Linked DNA regions of Anolis sagrei. Each later gene encodes a partner of the first gene's protein in a complex. Links are inferred from orthologs where the notes say so. Each region holds a gene or a part of one and is shown in the gene's direction. Other genes may lie near its edges.

Region 1 (11,434 bases):
AGTCCGACCACATTTGAATTGACATTGCCAGTTCTTGACTACATTATTTTGATGTAATATGTTGTTCGGGCTGCTCTGAGTCCCCATCGGGGAATTGGTAGCAGGGTATAAATAAAGATTATTATTATATGTTCGGACAGGTAAACTGGGCCGGAACAGAGTAGGGTATTATAGGTTAAAACCAGCACTTTGAATTGTGCTCGGAAGCTAATTGACAGCCAGTGGAGCTGGTGTAACAAGGGAGTTGTTCACATGTTAAAATGTTGACGTGATAGAAAAAGCTGGGGTCATTTTTGGATTAAGAAGCCAAAAGTTAATCAAAAACAAGTGTCAGATGTAGAATCATAGAATCATAGACAGGAGTATATACGGTTAATGGTTTATCCAAAATTAGGGCATACAAATATTGGATAAAACTAAATGCCATGGCAAATGATAGGCTACCAAAATTGTGTCGGTTAGAGCAGTCCAAAAACCAACACCAGTCCTCTTGGCTAGTGCAACTGACAAAATACATCAGGACTTGTGGACTTCCAATTCTATACCCAAATCTTCTAGAGGAATTAGATCCAAAAATGGTGGCACAACGAATACAGGATATAGAGGCTCAGAAAGACATTGCCACCCTTAGTAAAGCCGGCTCACTGAAATGGTTAAGTCTCTTCAAACATACTTTTCAAACAGCCGAATACCTAAAGACAGAAATGCCTAAACATCTAAGGAGGGTATTCACTAGAACCCGATTCGAACAGACAGATACAATGGTTAAACATGGAAGGTTTAACCAAGTTCCATATAATGAATGTTTCTGTATCTGTGGAGCAACAGAGGTAGAGGATATTACACATGTACTGTTTAATTGTATTTTGTACAACAAAGAGAGAAATCAATACCTCGGACCATTCATCATACAGAAGACTCACTGGGATCCCCATATCAAAACTACATTCTTAATGGCTGGCCAAAATGCTAAGATAACACACCAAACAGCCCTTTTCCTTTATAAAGCAACGCAGCTGAGAACTGCGTATCTGGAGGCGACTGGGGTAAACTGTAGGGGTGACGCAGATATCTGAAGTGGCTTCGGATTGTGTAATAGCTGGCCTATTTTAACCTTTGTTTTAACCTTCATTTTTAATTTTTGTGGTTTGAAATTTTACCTTGGCATTTTAATGATAATATTTTTAATTATCTTTTAACCTAATCAAGTTTGAATGTATGTTAGTTCACTATTATGGGAGTCTTGGGATAGTGATTATTGTCTATTTGTGCATGTTTCTGTTTTTGTTTTTAATGTTGATACAGTCAACGGACTAATCAATAAACTTTGCTTGCATGCTTGCTTGCATAGAATCATAGAGTTGGAAGAGACCTCATGGGCCATCCAGTCCAACCCCCTGCCAAGAAGCAAGAAAATTGCATTCAAAGCACCCCTGACAGATGGCCATCCAACCTCTGTTTAAAAGCCTCCAAAGAAGGAGCCTCCATCACACTCCAGGGCAGAGAGTTCCACTGCTGAACGGCTCTCACAGTAAGGAAGTTATTCCTAATGTTCAATGAAAACTGCCTTCTCCAGTGTATTGGGTTCAGCTACAACAGTCTTCCACCTGTTTGGGACTCCAACTCCCAGAAGCTCTAGCCAGATGTTCCAATGGCCAGGAATTCTGGGAAATGAAGTCCAAAACATACGCAAGTTGTGCAGGCCTGATCTACACTGTAACAGCTTGACCCCACTTGAACTGCCAGGGCTCAATGGGATGGAATCATGGGATTTGTAGTTTGGAAACACCCCAGTGTTCTGGCAAGAGAAGGCAGAGATTAGAAGGCCAAAGAGCTTCTCAGGATCACATGGCACGGAGCCCTGGCAGGTCAAGTGGGGTCAAACAGGGTGACTTCTACCCAAGCTGGTCCAAGGCTCACCTTGCTGAGGAGTGGCGGCCTCTCTCTTGCCACTCGAGCTGGAAACCAAGGGGAGGCCAGAGGCTGCTCGCAAGAGGGCGCTTGGCTCCCTTTCCCCTGGGTCCGCTCCCTTGCGGCGCCTCCTTCTCCTGGAGGCCAGGCCATAGAGGGCCCAACACACGCCGGCGCCCACCGCCAGCCCCACCAGGCCCGCCTTCAGGGCTGAGTCCCGCATGGCCGCCGGAAAAGAAGGAAGGAAGGCAGCCCAGCATCGCCGTCAGGGGGCGCCCCGCGCAGGAAGAAGCGCGCGCTGCTCAGCCCTGGAAGGACAACAGCAGATTCGCCTTTCTACAGTTTCCAAGCTTTTTAAAAATTATAATTTCTTATTATTTCACCCCACCCCCTTTTGAATCGTGGAAGGGTGCCACAGCCGCAGTTCACAAATCGGAGGGACAAAACAATATAGCGGGAAAAACAAATAAACGAAAAACAAATAAACGTAAACCTGGGAAAATCTCCCAGAGCAGTGGATTCGCAAGAGCAGATTCGCCACAAACCAAACCAAGGCATATTAGGTTGATGGGTTTTCTGTTTTTAAAGGGCAAGGCACACAAATAGGGCCCTTCCACACAGCCATTTTAAGGTTAAGGTTTCCCCCTGACATTAAGTCCAGTTGTGTCCAACTCTGAGGGTTGGTGCTCATCTCCATATATAAGCCGAAGAACCAGCGTTGTCCGTAATAATAATAATAAACTTTATTTATACCCCGCCACCATCTCCCCAGTGGGGACTCGGAGCGGCTTACATGGGGCCAAGCCCGGACAACATATTACAGCAAAATAGAAGCAAAGCAGAAACAACAATCAACATCATCAAAATTACATAGAAAAAAAAGTATAACATAGTCATAAAATAACATTCCAATAAACACAATCACAATCCGTAGATACCTCCAAGGTCATGTGGTCAGCATAACTGCATAGAGCACCATTGCCTTCCCACCGGAGCGGTACCTATTGATCTACTCACATTTGATAGCTGGGACCCAATGCCGAGACAGCGCAGTGAGTGAGAGATGCAGGTGCGACAGAGTCGTGGCAAGATAGGTCACCAGAAAAGGGGGGGGGGCACAAACAGCCAAGATAGTGCTTAAGGTTATCCGGATATCATATGCAAACACGTTGAAATACATAACGTCTTCACTTCTCTAAAAGTATGATAGCTGGGACCCAATGCTGGTTGTACGACTGACCCGCGTTGCACAACCAGCATTGAGTCCCAGCTATCATACTTTTGCCTGCATGTTTTCCAACTGCTAGGTTGGCAGAAGCTGGGGCTGACAGTGGGAGCTCCCACCACTCCCCGGATTCAAACCTGTGACCTTTCGGTCAACAAATTCAGCAGCTCAGCGGTTTAACCTACTGCACCACTGGGGACTCCACACAGCCATATAACCCAAAATATTAAGGCAGATCATCCACAACATTGGAACTGGATTATCTGAGTCCACACTGCCATATAATCCAGTTCAATGTGGATTTTATACAGCTGTGTGGAAGAAGCCATAGACACCCATCACCAGATCTTGGAATGAGACAATTATTATTATTATTATTATTATTAACTTTATTTGTACCCCGCGAGCATCTCCCGAAGGACTCGATGCGGCTTACACAGGCCGAAGCCATAAACACAATACAATAGAAAACATAACAAACAATAGACAAGCAAATTAAAAAGCAAAACAAAACAAATCAAAATTAGCAATACAACGGTAACTATACATCAGGACATATTAAAAACTGGTTCGGCCGGTGAGAGGTACAAGGTTAAAAGTGCTGAAATGGTAGGAGGGGCGTCGGGATTAAAGTACGATGTGCAGCAATATTAACTGTGCTAAAGTGCTATTAGGACTTATAAAATCCAGATTATCTTCTTTGAACTGGATTATGTGGTAGTGTAGACTCATACAATCCAGTTCAAAGTGGACAATGTGGATTAAATGGCAGTGTAGAAAGGGCCAATGAAACCAAGGAAAAGGAATTAAAGGCTAGGAGTGGTCAACCCCCCTGTTTAAGGAGCTCCATTGGCTGCCGTTTATTTTCTGAGCCCAATTCAAGGTGCAGGTTATCACCTACAAAGCCCTAAACGGTTTGGGACCCACCTACATTTGTGACTGTATCTCTCTCCATGTACCAACCCGGGCCCTCCTTTCGCCCCAGCCAATTTCACAGGCTCGTCTTGTGGGCACAAGGGAGAGAGCCTTCTCCTCTCTGGCTCCTCGACTCTGGAACTCACTACCTGGAGAGATCAGGAAAGCCCCTATACTAGAAAAGTTTAAAAAGAACCTTAAAACCTGGCTCTTCCACTGTGGCTTTAGCGCAGGGGTAGGGAACCTTCGGCCCTCCAGGTGTGGTGGACTTCAACTCCCACAATTCCTTGAGGCTCGGCATTCGCCCCAAAGGCTTACACGAGCCTCAAGGAATTGTGGGAGTTGAAGTCCACCACACCTGGAGGGCCGAAGGTTCCCTACCCCTGCTTTAGCGAGTAGGTGCACAACATGACACTATTGCTCTGTCACTGGAGTACACGCCCCCCAAATGCGAAGTTTCGTTTCACAACCCTGTGTATTTTTATGAGCTCCCTGCAAATAACTTGCTCCTATTTTTATCTCATTAGAGTTTAAACATTTTATCCTGTACATGTGGCCCGCCCATTGTTTACTGCGACTGTGTTTTTTGTTTATTGTAATGTTACTTTTTTCATGTAATTTTGATGATGTTGCTTGCTGTTTATGTTTTGGTTTTATTTTGATGTATTATGTTGTTCGGGCTTGGCCCCATGTAAGCCGCTCCGAATCCCCATCGGGGAGATGGTGGCAGGGTATAAATAAAGATTCTTCTTCATCTTCTTTTTCTTCTTCTTCTTCTTCTTCTTATTATTATTATTATTATTAGATCTGCACTGCCCCATATCCCAGGATTTGGTCCCAGATTATCTGCTTTGAACTGGATTATGTGAGTCTCCACTGTTATATAATCTGGGCTAAGCAAGTAATCTGCAATCAGATCCTGGGATATAGGGTAGTGTAGAAGTGGCCTTTTTATCCAGGCACACTCATCTATATAAATAAAAATGTAATGTTCGTTTGTGGGATTAACAACTCAAAAACCACTGGACGAATTGCCACCAAATTTGGACACAAGACATCTACTCACCCAAGGAGTGACCCTCACTAAAAAAAAAAATGGATTTTGTCATTTGGGAGTTGTAGTTGCTGGGATTTATACAATCCAAGTGTATTCTGAACTCCACCAATGATGGAATTGAACCAAACGTGGCACACAGGACTCCCATGACCAACAGAAACACTAGAAGGGTTTAGTGGGCATTGACCTTGAGTTTGGGAGTTGTAGTTCACCTACATCCAGAGAGCACTGTGGACTCAAACAATGATGGATCTGGACCAAACTTGGTACGAATATTCCATATGCCCAAATATGAACACAGATGGGGTTTGGGGGAAATAGACTTTGATATTTGGAAATTGTCGCTACTGGGATTTATAGTTCACTTACAATCAAAGCACATTCTGAATCCCACCAGCGATAGAATTGGGCTAAACTTCCCACACAGAACCCCCATGAGCAACAGAAAATACTTAAGGCCATCCAGTCCAACTCTCTTCACTAGGGCAAGAAAATGTAATCAAAGCCCTCCTGACAAAGAGTCATCCAGCCATAGATATAGATAGATAGATAGATAGATAGATAGACAGATATAGATATGATTCACACACAGAGAGAAATAGTATCATAGATTTGAAAGGGACCCTTAAAGCCAAGGTGGGCAAACCAGACACTCTCCACATCAACACTGACAAAAAACAGCAGAAATACTGTATACCCACAAGCATAAAGGAATTACATATATTAGAAACCAATACTTTCTCATTACTTTATTTTCCAGATCAACAGACTGGGCCACAGCAACGCGTAGCAGGGGACAGCTAGTCAATAATAATAAAGAAACCTAATCCATATAGACCCATTACCAAGAAAAAGAAGAAAAGAAAGAAATATCTACTGGAAATGTTTATATGAAGAGAGATAAACCCTCCCAAGCTTCCCCCCTTCTCAACCCCCTTTTTTATTGTCAATCACTAATAAAAATGTATATATATATAAAAAAGACATTACATATATTAGAAACCAACACTTTCTCGTTACTTTCTCATCACTAGACTGGGCCACAGCAACGCGTGGCAGGGGACAGCTAGTCCCCAACATAAAAAGGTTAGTGTGAATGGCGCTGCCACATTCTTTCCTCCTCCTTTCCTCCTTTTGAATACTTCTGGTGTCTGGCAGTTTGAGTGGCAGGCGAGGGCGAGTGGGCCGGCGCGCGCTGACCACCCGGGGCTTGGCTCGAGGGCACGTGCAGCCCGGTTGCTAGGCGACCGCCAAACGGTCACCTCAGGGGGCCAGGCCGGGAGGAGGACCCCCTCCTCTCCTCTCCGTGGGGCCATGGCTACGTTTCAAGGCGTGGGCCCCGAACTCAGGGCCTACTTCAAGAAACACTCCATCCCTGACATCTATGAGGTAAAAGGGCCGCCTGGGGAAATTGGAGAGGGATGAAACCAGGTCTAACACGTTGTCAGGGAAGGCCTCCCTTTTTTTGCTGTGCTGGCCTAGTAGGCATGCATTCTTATGATCCACCTCCATCCCGCTAGGCCAGAGAGTCGCAAGGAGAGTTTCCTTACCAGTCACACCTTCAGTACTGTATTTGTGTGGCATTGTTTTGGAACTGAACTAATATCTTGAAGAGCTTTTAAAATTGAATTTAGAATAATAGAATCCTAGAGTTGGAAGAGACCTCATGGGCCCAGAGGCGGCCCTAGGTAATTTTTAATAGTAAGCAAACAGTATCCCCCGACAACCAATCACTGATATATATTTTCTGTTTGTTGTGGGAGTTCTGTGTGCCATATTTGGTTCTATTCCATCATTGGTGGAGTTCAGAATGCTCTTTGATTGTAGGTGAACTATATATCCCAGTAACTACAACTCGCATATGTCAAGGTCTATCAACTATACTACTGCAACGCACTCTACGTGGGGTTGCCCTTGAAGACTGTTTGGAAACTTCAACTGGTCCAGCGAGCGGCAGCCAGATTACTCACCGGAGCGTCATACAGGGAGCACACCACCCCCCTGTTGTGTCAGCTCCACTGGCTGCCGGTTCAATTCCGAGCACAATTCAAGGTGCTGGTTTTGACCTACAAAACCCTATACTAGTGTTTCTCAACCTGGGGGTCGGGACCCCTGGGTGGGGGTCACGATGGAGTGTTAGAGGGGTCGCCAAAGACCACCAAGATGCACTGCTGCTCATGGGAGTTCTGTGTGGGAAGTCTGGCCCAATTCTATCGTCGGTGGGGTTCAGAATGCTCTCTGATTGTAGGTAAACTATAAATTCCAGCAATTACAACTCCTAAATGTCAAGGTCTATTTCCCCCAAACTCCCAGCAGTGTTCACATTTGGGCATATTGAGTATTCATGCCAAGTTTAGTCCAGATCTATCATTGTTTGAGTCCACAGTGCTTTCTGGAGATATGTGAACTACAACTCAAGGCCAATGCTCACCTAACGCTTTCATTATTTTTTGCTGGTCATGGGTGTTCTGTGTGCCAAGTTTGGGTCAATTTCATCTCTGGTGGAACTCAGAAAGTTCTTTGATTGTACGTGAACTGTAAATCCCAGCAACTATAACTCCCAAGGTCCAGAGAATGAAAATACATCCTGCCTATCAGATATTTACATGACGATTCATAACAGTAGCAAAATTCCAGTTATGAAGTAGCAACGAAAATAATTTTAGGGTTGGGGGTCACCACAACATGAGGAACTATATAAAGGGGTTGCGGCGTTAGGAAGGTTGAGAACCACTGCCCTATTCTGGTCCAGTGTATCTGTCCGAACGCATCTCCCTCTATGTCCCACCCCGGAGTTTGAGATCATCTGGAGAGGCCCTGCTTTCGACCCCACCGCTATCACAAGTGAGGTTGGTGGGGACGGGGAGCAGGGCTTTCTCAGTGGTGGCCCCTCACCTGTGGAACTCACTCCCGGGGGAAATTAGGTCATCAACATCCCTCCTCTCCTTCAGGAGGAAAGTAAAGACGTGGTTGTGGGACCAGGCCTTTGGGCAATCTGACAACTAGATAAGGACAATCAGACGACTAGGACTGACAGGACTGACAAAGTGGAATTGGAAATTAGACTATGAGATGGTGAACGCTGACCGTTAATGAGGAGTAATGGGTTTGTATTGGTTTTATTGGTTTTATTGTTGTAATGCAGGAACTGTTGTTTAACTGTTAATTGCTGCTATATTGTTTTACTACTGTTACGTGATGCCGGCATCGAATTGTGCGTTTGTAAGTTGCCCTGAGTCCCCTCCAGGGTGAGAAGGGCGGGGTAGAAGTAATCGAAATAATAAATACTGCAAATGCTTACTTTGCGTAATGGGTTGAGCCTCCCCTGCATGGGCCATCCAGTCCAACCCCCTGCCAAGAAGCAGGAAAATTGCATTTAGATGGCCATCCAGCCTCTGTTTAAAAGCTTCCAAAGAAGGAGCCTCTACCAGGACCGTAGCCAGAAAAAAAATTTCGGGGAGGGTTGAAACCTTTTTTAGCAAATCATGAAGAGTAGTTCGAGGGAGAGGGCCTTCTCGGTAGTGGCCCCCCGACTCTGGAACTCACTTCCCAAGGACATCAGACATGCCCTAACTCTGACAGTCTTTACTTACTTACTTACTTAGGCGATCCCTCGTTGGCCGAGAAGGATAGTCTTCCAGGATCAGAATTCTTGTGTCTGTAGGTGGCTGTGGAGCCCTATTCTTGATCTGCATCTTCTTCCACAGTGAGGGCAGATGTGTAGCCAAGGGGGGGGGGGGCTTGAGGGGCTTCAGCCCCCCCCCCCCCGGAAATTCTCATGGTGGTTCACGAAAAGGCCTTACTGGTGCATTATTTAAACTGTTATGTTTATTCATATCATGATCTGATCACCATACTCAATATATTCCATATGCTTGGGGGTATTGGGGTAACGATACAGAAGGTTTGCTAGGGTAGACCCTCTTTCACTCAGACTTAGCCCCGCCCCCCGAAACAAACTCAGCCTCCCCCGAATCGAAATCCTGGCTACAGTCCTGAATGAGGGCATTGGTTTCCAGGTGGAAGGCGGTCCCGGTCGGGTTGGCTTGATGCGCCTTCCTCTTGGCACGTTTCTCTCTTTCACCCTCCTTTCATGCCTCTTCAAATTTTGCAGCACTGCTGGTCACAACTGACCACCAACTGGAGCGCTCAAGGGCCATGGCTTCCCAGCTCTCAGTGTCTATGCTAGAGTTTTTAAGGTTGGCTTTGAGCCGATCTTTAAATCTCTTTTCCTGTCCACCAACATTCCGTTTCCCCTTCTTGAGTTCGGAGTAGAGCAACTGCTTTGGGAGATGGTAGTTGGGCATCTGGACAACGTGGCTGGTCCAGTGGAGTTGATGGTGGAGGACCATCGCTTCAATGCTGGTGGTCTTTGCTTCTTCCAGCACGCTGACGTTTGTCCGCCTGTCTTCCCAAGAGATTTGCAGGATTTTCCGAAGGCAGCACTGATGGAATCGTTCCAGGAGTTGCATGTGACATCTGTAGACATTCCACGCATGTGACATCTGTAGACAGTACACATTTTGCAGGCATATAGCAGGGTTAGGAGGACAATAGCTTTATAAACAAGCACCTTGGTATCCCTACGGATGTCCTGGTCCTCAAACACTCTGTGCTTCATTTGGAAACATGCCCAGCTCTTTAAGCCGCTCCTCATAGGGCTTGTTCTCCAGACCCTTGATCATTTTAGTCGCCCTCCTTTGGACACATTCCAGCTTGTCAATATCTCTCTTCAATTATGATGCCCAGAATTGGACACAGCATTCCAGATGTGGTCTAACCAAGGCAAAATAGAGGGGTACAATGACTTCCCTGGATCTAGACACTAGACTCCTATTGATGAAGGCCAAAATCCCATTGGCTTTTTTCGCTGCTGTGTCACATTGTTGGCTCATGTTTAACTTGTTGTCCATGAGGACTCCAAGATCTTTTCCACTAGCACTGCCCTCGACCCACGCGTCCCCCATTCTGTATCTTTGCATTTCATTTTTTCTGCCTAAGTGGAGTATCTTGCATTTGTCACTGTTGAACTTCATTTTGTTAGTTTTGGCCCATCTCTCTTAATTTGTCAAAATTGTTTTGAATTCTGTTCTTGTCGTCATTTGCCCTCTATGATTTAGTCATATATTGCTTATATATAGAGACATCAGCCAAATGGTCATGGTAATGAAATTAAATTTATTTGCTGTCCTAATGCAGTAAGAGAATACAGGTAGTCCCCAAGTTACGAATAAGACAGGTTTGCTCTTAAGATGGATTTGTTTGTAAGTTGGAACAGGTACATTTTAAAGTGTAACTCCAGCCACCTCACTTTCTGTCCCTGTGATAATTGGATTTTGAGAAATTTGGCTTATTGTGGAAACAAGGATTGGTGATAAAACTTCAGTAGAGACCCTTTTCTCCTATGTAAATAACTCTTTCAGGAGTAAGTTTCCTTTCCTAGGGGTAGATTTCCCTCACTTCCTTTTGTCTCATCTCGGTTCTTAACTGTGAGTCATTTGTAAATCAGATGTTTGTAACTTGGGGACTGCCTGTGCGCACTTACATTTTTCAAAAGCAAGTTCTATTCCAATCCAGCAGAGGGAGCAGTAGACAAAATTAAAGGACTTTATCTAATGCTGCATATTTGTGACACCTATTGTATTTCACATCCTTGATATTTAAGCTAAATCCAACTGTTGTGAATCACATTTAAGTGCCTCTGCTTTCAGGGGAGGGTTAGACAAGAACAATGTTATTTTCCAGTTAAATCAATAGATTTTACTTTTTCACAATTGGTCTTTTTGATTCATTTAACAGGGACTATTTGTTTTGTAGGGAGCTGGCATAGTGCTGTGTGGTTTTGGACTTTTAACTCCGGAGACCTAATTCAAATGCCTGCTCACTCAGGGTGCATCCAGACCTGACAGAAATGTGCACCAAAACCACATTTGGCCCGGCATTTGGTTTAAAATGTTTATATGTTACTGTTGATTGCTTATTGTCTATTTTGTTTATGATTTATATTACATTGATTGCTTATTGGTGTTTTATTTTATTGATGTTCTGTTTATTGATGTATTGCGGGCTTGGCCTCATGTAAGCCGCACCGAGTCCCTTAGGGAGATGGAAGCGAGGTACAAATAAAGTGTTATTATTATTATTATTATTATTATTATTATCATTATTATTTATATATATATAAATGCTCTGTGCATAATGAGTACCTTAAAAACACAAGAACCAATGAACGAAATTACACCAAATTTGGCAGCAAAACGTCTCACTACACAAGGAGTGACCATCACTCAAAAAATTATGATTTTGTCATTTGGGAGTTGTAGTTG
Region 2 (11,107 bases), on another chromosome or scaffold:
TAGTTCACCTACAATCAAAGAGCATTTTTAACTCTACTGACGATGGAATTGAACCAAACCTAGCACACAGAAATCCCACAGACCTGACCACATACATTTTAAGACAAAGTAAAGCATGCTCTCTAAGCCAGTGCAAAGGCTAACACTAATACGATTAAAAGAATATGCACAGATGCAAGTGTGAAGAGTGCTCACTTTTTTGCTTTGTAGACATAGGCACACTTCTTGCCTAAGTAGAATTCAGTCTCATTGCGAGAATAAACCCCCTCGATCTTCAGCAGAGCTGTGTGCTCCCTCTGGTTTCGGAGGCCTCGCTTGTAGCCAGCAAAAGTGGCTTTGGACCACAACCTAAGGAAGAAAGCACAGACAGAATTAAATCCCAGCTAAACGCACAGATGCCTATAATTTGTAGTGAAAAGGAAAGTAGGTATATAGTATGAAATATTAAGTTCAATATATGTAATTAATGTCCTCTTATATTGTTCTTCACAAGAAGGTATTCAATTTAGCAACATTTCACACAAGTATTACCATACCTTTGCTACACTTTCCAGTTTAAATATCAATACTGTCAAAAAGGAAAAATGAAAACACAGTTTTACTACAGACTTGATAATATTCTCAAGTGCTGCTGAAGCTTCAAATCAAGTTAATAACACATATTCCACATAAAGATATACATTTTAGTTAACAATTTACTTGATGTAAAATGTTACACTTGGTGTGTTACTAAAATGTATATCTTTATGTGGAATATGTGTTATTAACTTGATTTGAAGCTTCAGCAGCACTTGAGAATATTATCAAGTCTGTAGTAAAACTGTGTTTGTTTGTTTTCATTTTTCCTTTTTGACAGAATTAAATTCCAGCCAGACCAGCAAGCTACATTACAACACAAGAGAAGACAGTTTCATATGGTTTTGATACCTTACACCAGGGGTCCTCAAACTAAGGCCCGGGGGCCGGATACGGCCCTCCAAGGTCATTTACCTGCCCCTCACTTAGGGTTAACCTTAGTATGAAACTACTTGAAAGCACACAACAACAACAATCCTATCTCATCAGCCAAAATCAGGCCCACACTTTCCATTGAAATACTAAGAAGTTTATATTTGTTAAAATTGTTCTTAATTTTAATTATTGTATTGTTTTAAAATGTTTTTGCACTATAAATAAGATATGTGCAGTGTGCATAGGAATTCATTTGTATTTTTTTAAATTATAATCTGGCCCGCCAACAGTTTAAGGGACTGTGACCTGGCCCTCTGTTTAAAAAGTTTGTGGACCCCTGCCTTACACCATTCAGATTGTGAGGGAAAACTTCATAATGCAAAATAATAACAACATTCAATATTCCTTTTACAGTTTATAAGACATTCCGCTACTTTAAATGGGTGACACATTGAAAGTCTCTACAATAACACAAAAATGTGTAAAGGTATCTTATTTTTAAAAGATTTCCAAATAAAACACATCCCTACCTGCCAGTCATGGTATTGCTTGAAGTCCTGTCCCCAGCAGGCCTGAAGGAAGGAATCACAAGGAAGGTTAAATTGGCATGTGCAGTGCTCAGAATCAGTTTAAAGAACTAGACTCCTTCTACTGTCATGGCTCAATTTACTTATTTACCACATTTGTATACCGCCTTTCTCAGCCAGACGCGACACAAAGCGGTTCAGTCGAAAGTGATTCAATGCCATAACAAATATCAAAATACAATTAATACAAATATAAAAACAATTCAACATTTAAAATGTAATATAAGAAGCAAATATATCTGTAAAAACAAGATCCCCAGCATCTCCTTACTAAAATCATTGTCCAGTTGCATCGTCAGTCATTCCATATATTCATTTACGTCTAGTTATGCTCTAGTAGAAAAAGCTTGCTTGAAGATCCAGGTCTTAACCATTTTGCGGAATGTTAGAATGGAGGGGCCACCACTGAGATGGCCCTGTCTCTCATCCCCAATATGATATATTGTATGTATATGTATCTTGTAAGCTACTCTGAGTCCCCTTCGGGGTGAGAAGGGCAGCATATAAATGTTGCAAATAAATAAATAAAAAAATAAATGATGAAGGACATGTTTTTGTATCTTCTCTTTTTGCCATTCAGTGGCAATTTGCAACTGAAGTAAGTTGAGGACAAAGGAGGAGAGAAGAACTAGAATGTTTTAGCAACAGCAAACAAAGCGGGATGATAAAGGATTAATTGGGACTATTTAAGGGTGCATTTATAATATAGAATTAATGCAGTTTGAAATCCCTTTAACTGGCTCAATGTTATGGAATCCTGGGAGTTGTAGTTTTGTTAGGAAGCAGTCTTCCTTGGCAGACCTTGTAAAACGACAACTCTGAGGATTCCATAGCATTGAGCCAGGGAAGTGAAAGTGGCATCAAATCACATTAATTCTACAGTGAAGATGCAGCCAGCAGTGAATTTCTTGTTTAGACTTCGGTTCCATTTCTATTATGGCAGAATTTAAAAACAAAATTAAAGATTCTTCTCTTCAGGCAGGCCTACCCAATCAAACCTGAATCACAAGTTTTTAATTTGCATTGCATTGTCACTATATGTTGATTTCTATACCCCATGTATGTTCTTAATTATAGTGTTTTTATCTGTGTATTTTATGTTAGTTTTTCATCGACTTAAATCAAGAAATAGTTTTCTAAGATCTACAGAGACACTTGCTGGAACACCTCAGCAAGCGAGAGTCCAAAAGTGGCAGGCTCAAACCCAGAACCTCAACCAATGGCTGATACCAAATGAGAGAGTCCCTCCTGGGCACACAGAAGACTGGGTGACTTGGAAGGCACTGAACAGACTGCGCTCCACAAGATGCAAAGTCAACCTTAAGAAATGGAGCTACAAAGTGGAATCCACAACATGCGAGTGTGGTGAAGAGCAAACCACTGTCCACCTGCTGCAATGCAACCTGAGCCCTGCCACATGCACAATGGAGGACCTTCTTGTGGCAACACCAGAGGCACTCCAAGTGGTCAGATACTGGTTCAAAGGACATTTAATCAACTACCAAGCTTGCAAACTTTGAGTTTTGTTTGTTTGTTAAAAAATGCAATGCAACTGTTTGGTCTGCCTCTGACACGATAAATAAATAAATATGTTAGTTTGTCTTGATTTTATTCAGGAATGGGCAAACTTCAGTCCTCCAGGTGTTTTCGACTTCACCTCCATTAGGCTTTTAGGAATTGTGGGAGTTGAGGACCAATAATAATAATAATAATAATAATTCCTTATTTCTAGACTGCCCTCTCTCCCCGGAAAGACTCAGGGCGGTTTACAAAATATATGGAGGGAGGGCCGAAGTTTGCCTACGCCCATTCTATGTTGTATCCTGCCTCGAGCCAAGGCAGAGAGTATAAATAAAGTGTACTATTGTGTTGTTGAAGGCTTTCATGCCCAGAATCAATGGATTGCTGTGAGTTTTTTGGACTGTGTGGCCATGTTCCAGTTGATTTCTCTCCTGCTTCTGTGGCTGGCATCTTCAGAGGTTCTGTTGGCAATGAAGCAAGTCTATCTATCTGCAGAATGTCCATGGCGGGAGGAAGAACACTTGTCTGTGAATGTTGCAATTAGTAAGAATTGAGTAGCCTTTCACCTGCAGTATCAATCTGTGAAGTTATCTGCTTAGAGGTGGTTAACAGTATTAAAAAAAAACACCAGAATTAGGATAGTAAATAAGGAACACCACTCAGAAACAGAACTCCAGATAGCAAACAATCAAGAGCCAATTAACACCCCCCAGAGGATGTCTCCAGGCAACAAAGAGCAGGCTCCCTCTATGCCAGTGGTTCCTAGCCTTTGGGCCTCCAGGAATTTTGAACTTTAGCTCCCACAGTTCCTAACAGCTGGTCCAAAACACCTGGAGCCCAAAGGTTGGGAACCACTGCTCTATGCAGATACCTTACCATTGACTTTACAGCTTAGTGGCTACTCAATGCTATTCAAGCTTGCTAATTGCAACATTCACATTTGTGTTAAGCAAACAAGGGTTCTTTCTTCCACCTTGGACATTTATCCCACAGGTTTATATATATATATACTAGCCGTCCCCTGCCGCGCGTTGCTGTGGTCCAGTCTCTGTATTTGTGTTTTGTGTGTGTATATATTTTTATTTTTGTGTATATATGTGGTTTTGCGCATGTGTTCTAATGTTTTGGTTTGGTTTTTTTGCTTTTTATGTCTTTTTTGCTGTGTTTTTCAGTATTTTCATGAGTGATGGTTACTTCTTGGCCTGATACGTGTATTGTGTCCAATTTGGTGTCAATTTACCCAGTGGTTTTTGAGTGATGTTAATCCCACAAATGAACATTACATTTTTATTTATATAGATGGATATATATTGTAAATAAGTAATTATATTTATTATAGTAGCATCACTATTTCAATATTATTATATTGTATTATGATTAGCACTATATTGCATTACATTATAATATTATTATCAATATTACATGTATATACAATATACTAAATTAGCATAACACACTATTAGTATTATATATTTCTATATTGTAGCATAGCACTATACTGCAATCTATATAAATAAAAATGCAATGTTCGTTTGTGGGATTAACAGAACTCAAAAACCACTGGGGGAATTGCAACCAAATTTGGCCACAAGACACCTACTAACCCAAGGAGTGACCATCACTAAAAAAAAATGAGTTTGTCATTTGGGAGTTGTAGTTGCTGGGATGTATAGTTCACCTACAAACAAAGAGCATTCATAACCCCACCAACGATGGAATTGAACCAAACTTGGCACACATTTCTCCCATGACCAACAGAAAATACTGGAAGGGTTTGGTGGGCAGTGTCCTTTGGTTTTGGAGTTGTAGTTCACCTACATCCAGAGATCACTGTGGACTCAAACAATGATGGATCTGGACCAAACTCTACACGAACACTCAATATGCCCAAATGTGAACACTGGTGGAGTTTGGGGGAAATAGAATCTTGACATCTGGGAGTTGTAGTTGCTGGGATTTATAGTTCACCTACAATCACAGAGCATTCTGAACGCCACTGATAGAATTGGGCCAAACCTCCCATACAGAACCCTCATGTGGGCCACTGCAACGCTTGGCAGGTGACGACTAGTGTGTGTGTGTGTGTGTATATATATATATATATATATATATATATATATATATATACACACACACACATATGTGATATATATATATATATATATATATATATATATATATAAGTAAAGCACAATATTATATATTACTAGCTGTTCCCTGCCACGCATTGCTGTGGCCCAGTCTGTTGATCTGGAAAATAAAGTAATGAGAAAGTGTTGGTTTCTAATATATGTAATTTCTTTATGCTTGTGGATAAACAGTATTTCTTGTTGTTTCTTTGTCAGTGTTGATGTGTCTTTTGTCCCACCCTGGTCATTCCACAGATATATAAACCCCTTTTCCTACTTCCAACAGACCACACTATCTCTGAGGATGCTTGCCATAGATGCAGGCGAAACGTCAGGAGAGAATGCCTCTAGGACATGGCCACATAGCCCGAAAAAAACCACAAGAACCTAGTGATTCCAGCCATGAAAGCCTTCGACAATACAGGCCTTCCTTCCTTCCCTTCGTCCCATGGAATCAGCCAGCTAAGGCGTAGAAACGAAACTAGGCCAGGCCGCAGCATCCGGCCTCCATCCACGGCATCCCACCGCCTTCCGCCGCCATCCCCGGCTCCTTCCACTCCTCAGACCTCGCTTCACCCGCCGACCCCACTCGGGAGCCGCTTTCCCCGCGGTTTCCACGGATTCCTCCCCACGAAACGCGCGCCCCCCTTCCTCACCTCAGCAGCACCGGCCCAAGATGGCGGCAGAAAGAGAGAGCGGCGCCGCGGTGCAAGCCGGGATAGGGGGACAAAATCGCCAGGACCCCTTCCTTGTTTAGAGATAGGTGGTTACGCTATTCGCCTGACTGAAATATCACAACATTTTGGGGGGTATTTTAAAAAGTGGAATTTAAAACTTCGATTTGGGTGTTTGATTTCCAATATCGAGCTTTTATTTCATCCTCTGTAATTTAACGATTTTTAAAAAATGTCAGGCTTTTATATAGACAGCCTTTTGCTAATGTGAGGGCCCCACAGGAAGTGAGTGGTAACCATGGCGACGTCAAGCTGTGCAAGTGATACCTCTTGGTGAGTGAGTCCCTTCAGAACGGTTCTATTGAGTTGAGAGGGTTTTTCACACAGGAAAAGCATTCAGGAAACATTTGGGAGAAAGCAGCAGAAATTCCAAACACAAAAAGAGGGAATGCAGTGAATATTAAGATGGAAACTATCCCAAGAGAGGAGGCCTCAAGGCCTTCACTAAAGTTAGGCCTCAGGAAAAGGGAAGAACAAATTATCCATCTATCTATCTATCTATCTTTACTTACTTAGGCAATCCCTCATTGTCCAAGTAGGATTGTCTTCTCTCTTTCACCTTCCATTTGTGCCTCTTCAAATTCTGCAGCACTGCTGGTCACAGCTGACCTCCAGCTGGAGCGCTCAAGGGCCAGGACTTCCCAGTTCTCAGTGTCTATGCCTGTGCAGGTACAGCTGTACCAGGAGCTCCAATTTTGTTTGCTTTGCATTGAATGTTTGTAGTCCTAAGTTTCAGGGACTCTGCAGATAGGTGGCTTCTTTTGGCTGCAATCATAGGGCAAGCCACCAGTCAATTATAGTTAGGTTCCCTGGTCCCGCCCCCTTTGGGTTTTTGGAGGGAATAGGAGCCAGTTTGGGTACAGTCCACACAGAGAAGGTTTTCGCACAGGACATAATACCAAGAGCTCCTGTAGAAAGCTTTGTCCATTTTTCAATCTCTTTTCATGTCTTCCAACATTCAATTTTCCGTTCTTGAGTTCGGAGTAGAGTAACTGCTTTGGAGACGGTGGTCGGGCATAATAATAATAATAATACTTTATTTATTTGTTTATTTTAAAATAAATAAAAATAAACGAAACAGAGTGGCAACAATTATGGAGACAAAGACATTAAAAAAATTATCAATACGTGTTAAAGAAAATTATTATAAGTTAATATGGAAGTGGTATCTGACACCAGTAAGATTAGCATATATAAATAAAAATAATTCAAAAAATTGTTGGAGAGGATGTCAAGAACCAGGAATATATATACATATGTGGTGGCAATGTAAATATGTAAATAATTTTTGGGGGAAAGTATTTAGAGAAATAGAAGATATAATGAACATTAAAATTGAGAAAAGCCCTAGTATAGCTTTATTATATAACAATACACAATGGAAAAAGGAGGATAAAGAAACGATAACAAACTTATTAACTATAGCAAGACTGCTCATAGCAAGGAATTGGAAAAAAGAAATGAATATACAAATAGAGGAGTGGTATAAGGAAGCATGGAAAATAGCAATAAATGATAAATTGACATGTATATTAAAAGTTCAAAAAGGTATATGGAAACAAAGTGATTTTGATGTTGTATGGGGAAAATTTGTAGTAAATGGTTTAAAAAACAAAGAAGGAAAGTTACCGTCACAAGAAGAATTGAAATTTTGGACAGACGATATGTAAAAGTTGTGGCTTGATATGGGGGGAGGGGAGCACAGTGGTGGGAAACAAAGGGGGAAAATGCTTAAGTAGAATAATAAGATTATATGTTAAAGAGTGTGTTGAATAATATGTAACTGCTATAACCAAACGCATAACAAATGTAATAACTATGATAAAAAAAAGAAAACCAAATTCTGCAGTACTGCTGGTCACAGCTGACCTTCAGCTGGAGCGCTCAAGGGCCAGGACTTCCCAGTTCTCAGTGTCTATGCCAGAGTTTTTGAGGTTGGCTTTGAGCCAATCTTTAAATCTCTTTTCCTGTCTTCCAACATTCAATTTTCCGTTCTTGAGTCCGGAGTAGAGCAACTGCTTTGGCAGACAGTGGTCGGGCATAATAATAATAATAATAATAATAATACTTTATTTATACCCCGCTACCATCTCCCCAAGGGACTCGGTGCAGCTTACATGAGGCCAAGCCCAACAGTACATCAATAAACAAAAGCAATAACAAAAACAATCAATACAATACAATTAATATAAATCACATAAACAATAAACAGTAACACACAAGAATTTAAAAACCTATGGCCGGGCCAAATGTAATAGTTTAAAATTTAAAAAAATAACGCTGAGCATGAATAAGGTAGGATATAACTGGTATAGGGTTTTCAAAGAGAGATGAGGGAACGCAGTCAGTCCTAAATCAGTGGTAAAGTGCATTTTGAGGGCATATTGCTGAGAGTTTTCCTTATTCTGGGAAGGCACACTGGAACAACCACATTTTGGGGCCCCTCCTAAAGACTGCCAATGTGGGGGCTTGTCTGATATCTTTAGGTAGAGAGTTCTAGAGTCGGGGGGCCACCATAGAGAAGGCCTTCTCCCTCGTCCCTGCCAATCGTGCCTGCGAAGGAGGTGGGAGCGCGAGTAGGGCTTCTCTAGATGATCGAAGAGATAATGTGGGTTCGTACACAGAAATGCGGTCATGCAGGTAGGCGGGTCTCAAACCGTTTAGGGCTTTGTAGGTAAGAACCTACAACGTGACCGGTCCAGCGGAGTTGATGGCAGAGGAACATCGCTTCAATGCTGGTGGTCTTTGCTTCTTCCAGAACACTGACGTTTGTCCGCTTGTCTTCCCAAGAGATTTGCAGGATTTTCTGAAGGCAGCGCTGATGGAATCGTTCCAGGAGTTGCATGTGACGTCTGTAGACAGTCCACGTTTCGCAGGCATATAGCAGGGTTGGGAGGACAATAGCTTTATAAACAAGCACCTTGGTCTCCCTATGGATGTCCCGGTCCTCAAACACTCTCTGCTTCATTTGGAAAAAAGCTGCACTCGCAGAGCTCAGGCAGTATTGTATTTCAGTGTCAATGCTGACTTTTGTGGAGAGGTGACTGCCAAAGTAGCGGAAATGGTCAACATTTTCTAATGTTACACTATTAAGCTGTATTTCTGGCATTGGAGAGGGGTTGGCTGCTGACTGCTGGAAGAGCACTTTGGTTTTCTTGATGTTCAATGACAGGCTGAGCTTCTCATATGCTTCTGTGAAGGTGTATAGAGTGGCTTGTAGGTCTTCTTCTGAATACGCACAATGTTGTAACCCACCTCGAGCCATGAGGAGAGGCAAATAAGAAAAAATTACTATTATTATACGCTAGAATATTATATATGTACCAAAGAACACAGACCAACTAAAGCCTATAGGTAATAAAGCATAGCTTCATTTCCTATAGTATAGTAAGGTCAGCTGCATAGTAAACACTAGTTTAAACCTAAAATTGGAAGCCCATGATAAACAAAGGAACCATAAACACTTTACAGTCCATTCTATGCTTGTGGACAGAATGGCTGGCTATATACAGCCCTGGTGAGGCTGGGTTGTTGTAGGTTTTTCCGGGCTATATGGCCATGTTCTAGAGGCATTTTCTCCTGTCGTTTCGCCTGCATCTATGACAAGCATCCTCAGAGGTAGTGAGGTCTGTTGGAAGTAGGAAAATGGGTTTATATATCTGTGGACTGACCAGGGTGGGACAGGGTGGCCAACAAAAGTCCTTTGTCCCCCCCTGGTCATTCCACAGATATATAAACCCATTTTCCTACTTCCAACAGACCTCACTACCTCTGAGGATGCTTGCCATAGATGCAGGCAAAACGTCAGGAGAAAATGCCTCTAGACCATGGCCATATAGCCCGGAAAAACCTACAACAACCCAGTTATTCCAGCCATGAAAGCCTTTGACAATACCTGGTGAGGCTATTTGAGAATGAGTTATTAACAATGAACATTTTGCATGTCTTCTGGTTCTGGGAGCCTCAGAGACAGTACATAAATCTATATGGTGACATACATATTTCTAAAATTAAAACTAGAATGTACACATTGGTTGGCTGGCAGCAATGGAGAGAAAGAAAGAAAGCCCAGTCATGGAGAGGAAGGAGTGAGGAGAGCATGAAGTGAGGCCACTTTCATCCCAAATATCTCTCAGTGATCTTTTAACATGACAACCTATATAAAATATATAAAAATGTAATCTTCTTTTGCATATGAATGTAGTAAGAAATTTTTCATAGGTAAGTCAATATTTTTGTATGACTTTTTTTCAAAAAAGATTATCAACATCAGGTGACAGGATATTATTCTTGCATCTTCTAACCCAGGCATGGGCAAACTTCGGCCCTCCAGGTGTTTTGGACTTCAACTCCCACAATTCCTGGAGTTATGAGAGTTGAACTCCAAAACACCCGGAGGGCTGAAGTTTGCCTATGCGTGTTCTAACCAAAGTCATGCCATGAAGTGAGATACTTAAGTTATCCTGAATTCATTGCAGATTACTCAAATCAATTTGTTCTTTTATTTTTGTCTTTCATGGATGCCATGTTATTTGGAAGCTTGTTTAGATCAAGTGAATGGCCTTTTAGGCTTTCCCCATGTGAAGAGGAATGAGTTCTCTTTTGGAATAATAAAAATTATATGTCTTGGTGGGGAGAATCGGGATTTTAGAGAACTTCAGGTAGATCTGGGCCAAAACAAAGAGAATCTCATTTAGGAAACACACATTGTAACATCCATAGTGTGGTGAGGTACCGGGTAATATTAAAGACCTTGCAAAACTACAGTGCCCAGGACTTCCAGCATTCAGCCATGGCAGTTCAAGTGGTGTCAAACTGCACCCATTCTGCAGTGCAGATTCACCCTCAGAGGCCCTTGAGGTGTGAATGCCCTTTGGGGAGATAGGGTGATATATAAATAACATTTTATTATTATAATTATTTTATTATTATTATGCACCAGATGATCTCAGTGAGTCCTTTCCAGCTCTACTGTGAATGAACTAACCCTTCCAAGAGACATACCTAGGATTTCTGGGATGCAAATCAAACAGGCTGTTTTCTTTCAATTGTCAGACACTGAATTCACCAGAAGGAGGCACTGCAGGATGCATCTGGGAATCTTCTTTCAGAAGCTCAGAGCAAAAGGCAAAGACCAGTGGACTCTTCAGAATTCTCCTCCAGAACCACATCTTAAATGGGTTTC

The links.
Region 2: FBXL13 (region 1) and IQCG share a complex: the UniProt entries of both Homo sapiens proteins name them as parts of the nexin-dynein regulatory complex. The link is inferred for Anolis sagrei from reciprocal best matches to the Homo sapiens genes FBXL13 and DRC9.

The regions. Positions count from the first base shown.
Region 1 is NC_090025.1:85,407,128-85,418,561, forward strand, and holds the start of FBXL13 (F-box and leucine-rich repeat protein 13), read left to right. Parts: upstream 1-6,362; 5' UTR 6,363-6,422; coding exon 6,423-6,497; intron 6,498-11,434. Other genes in the region: ARMC10 (armadillo repeat-containing protein 10), read right to left, coding at 1,921-2,134. UniProt on the Homo sapiens protein: Substrate-recognition component of the SCF (SKP1-CUL1-F-box protein)-type E3 ubiquitin ligase complex.
Region 2 is NC_090023.1:267,624,806-267,635,912, forward strand, and holds the start of IQCG (dynein regulatory complex protein 9), read left to right. Parts: upstream 1-6,139; 5' UTR 6,140-6,160; coding exon 6,161-6,195; intron 6,196-11,107. Other genes in the region: RPL35A (large ribosomal subunit protein eL33), read right to left, coding at 196-348, 1,482-1,492. UniProt on the Homo sapiens protein: Component of the nexin-dynein regulatory complex (N-DRC), a key regulator of ciliary/flagellar motility which maintains the alignment and integrity of the distal axoneme and regulates microtubule sliding in motile axonemes.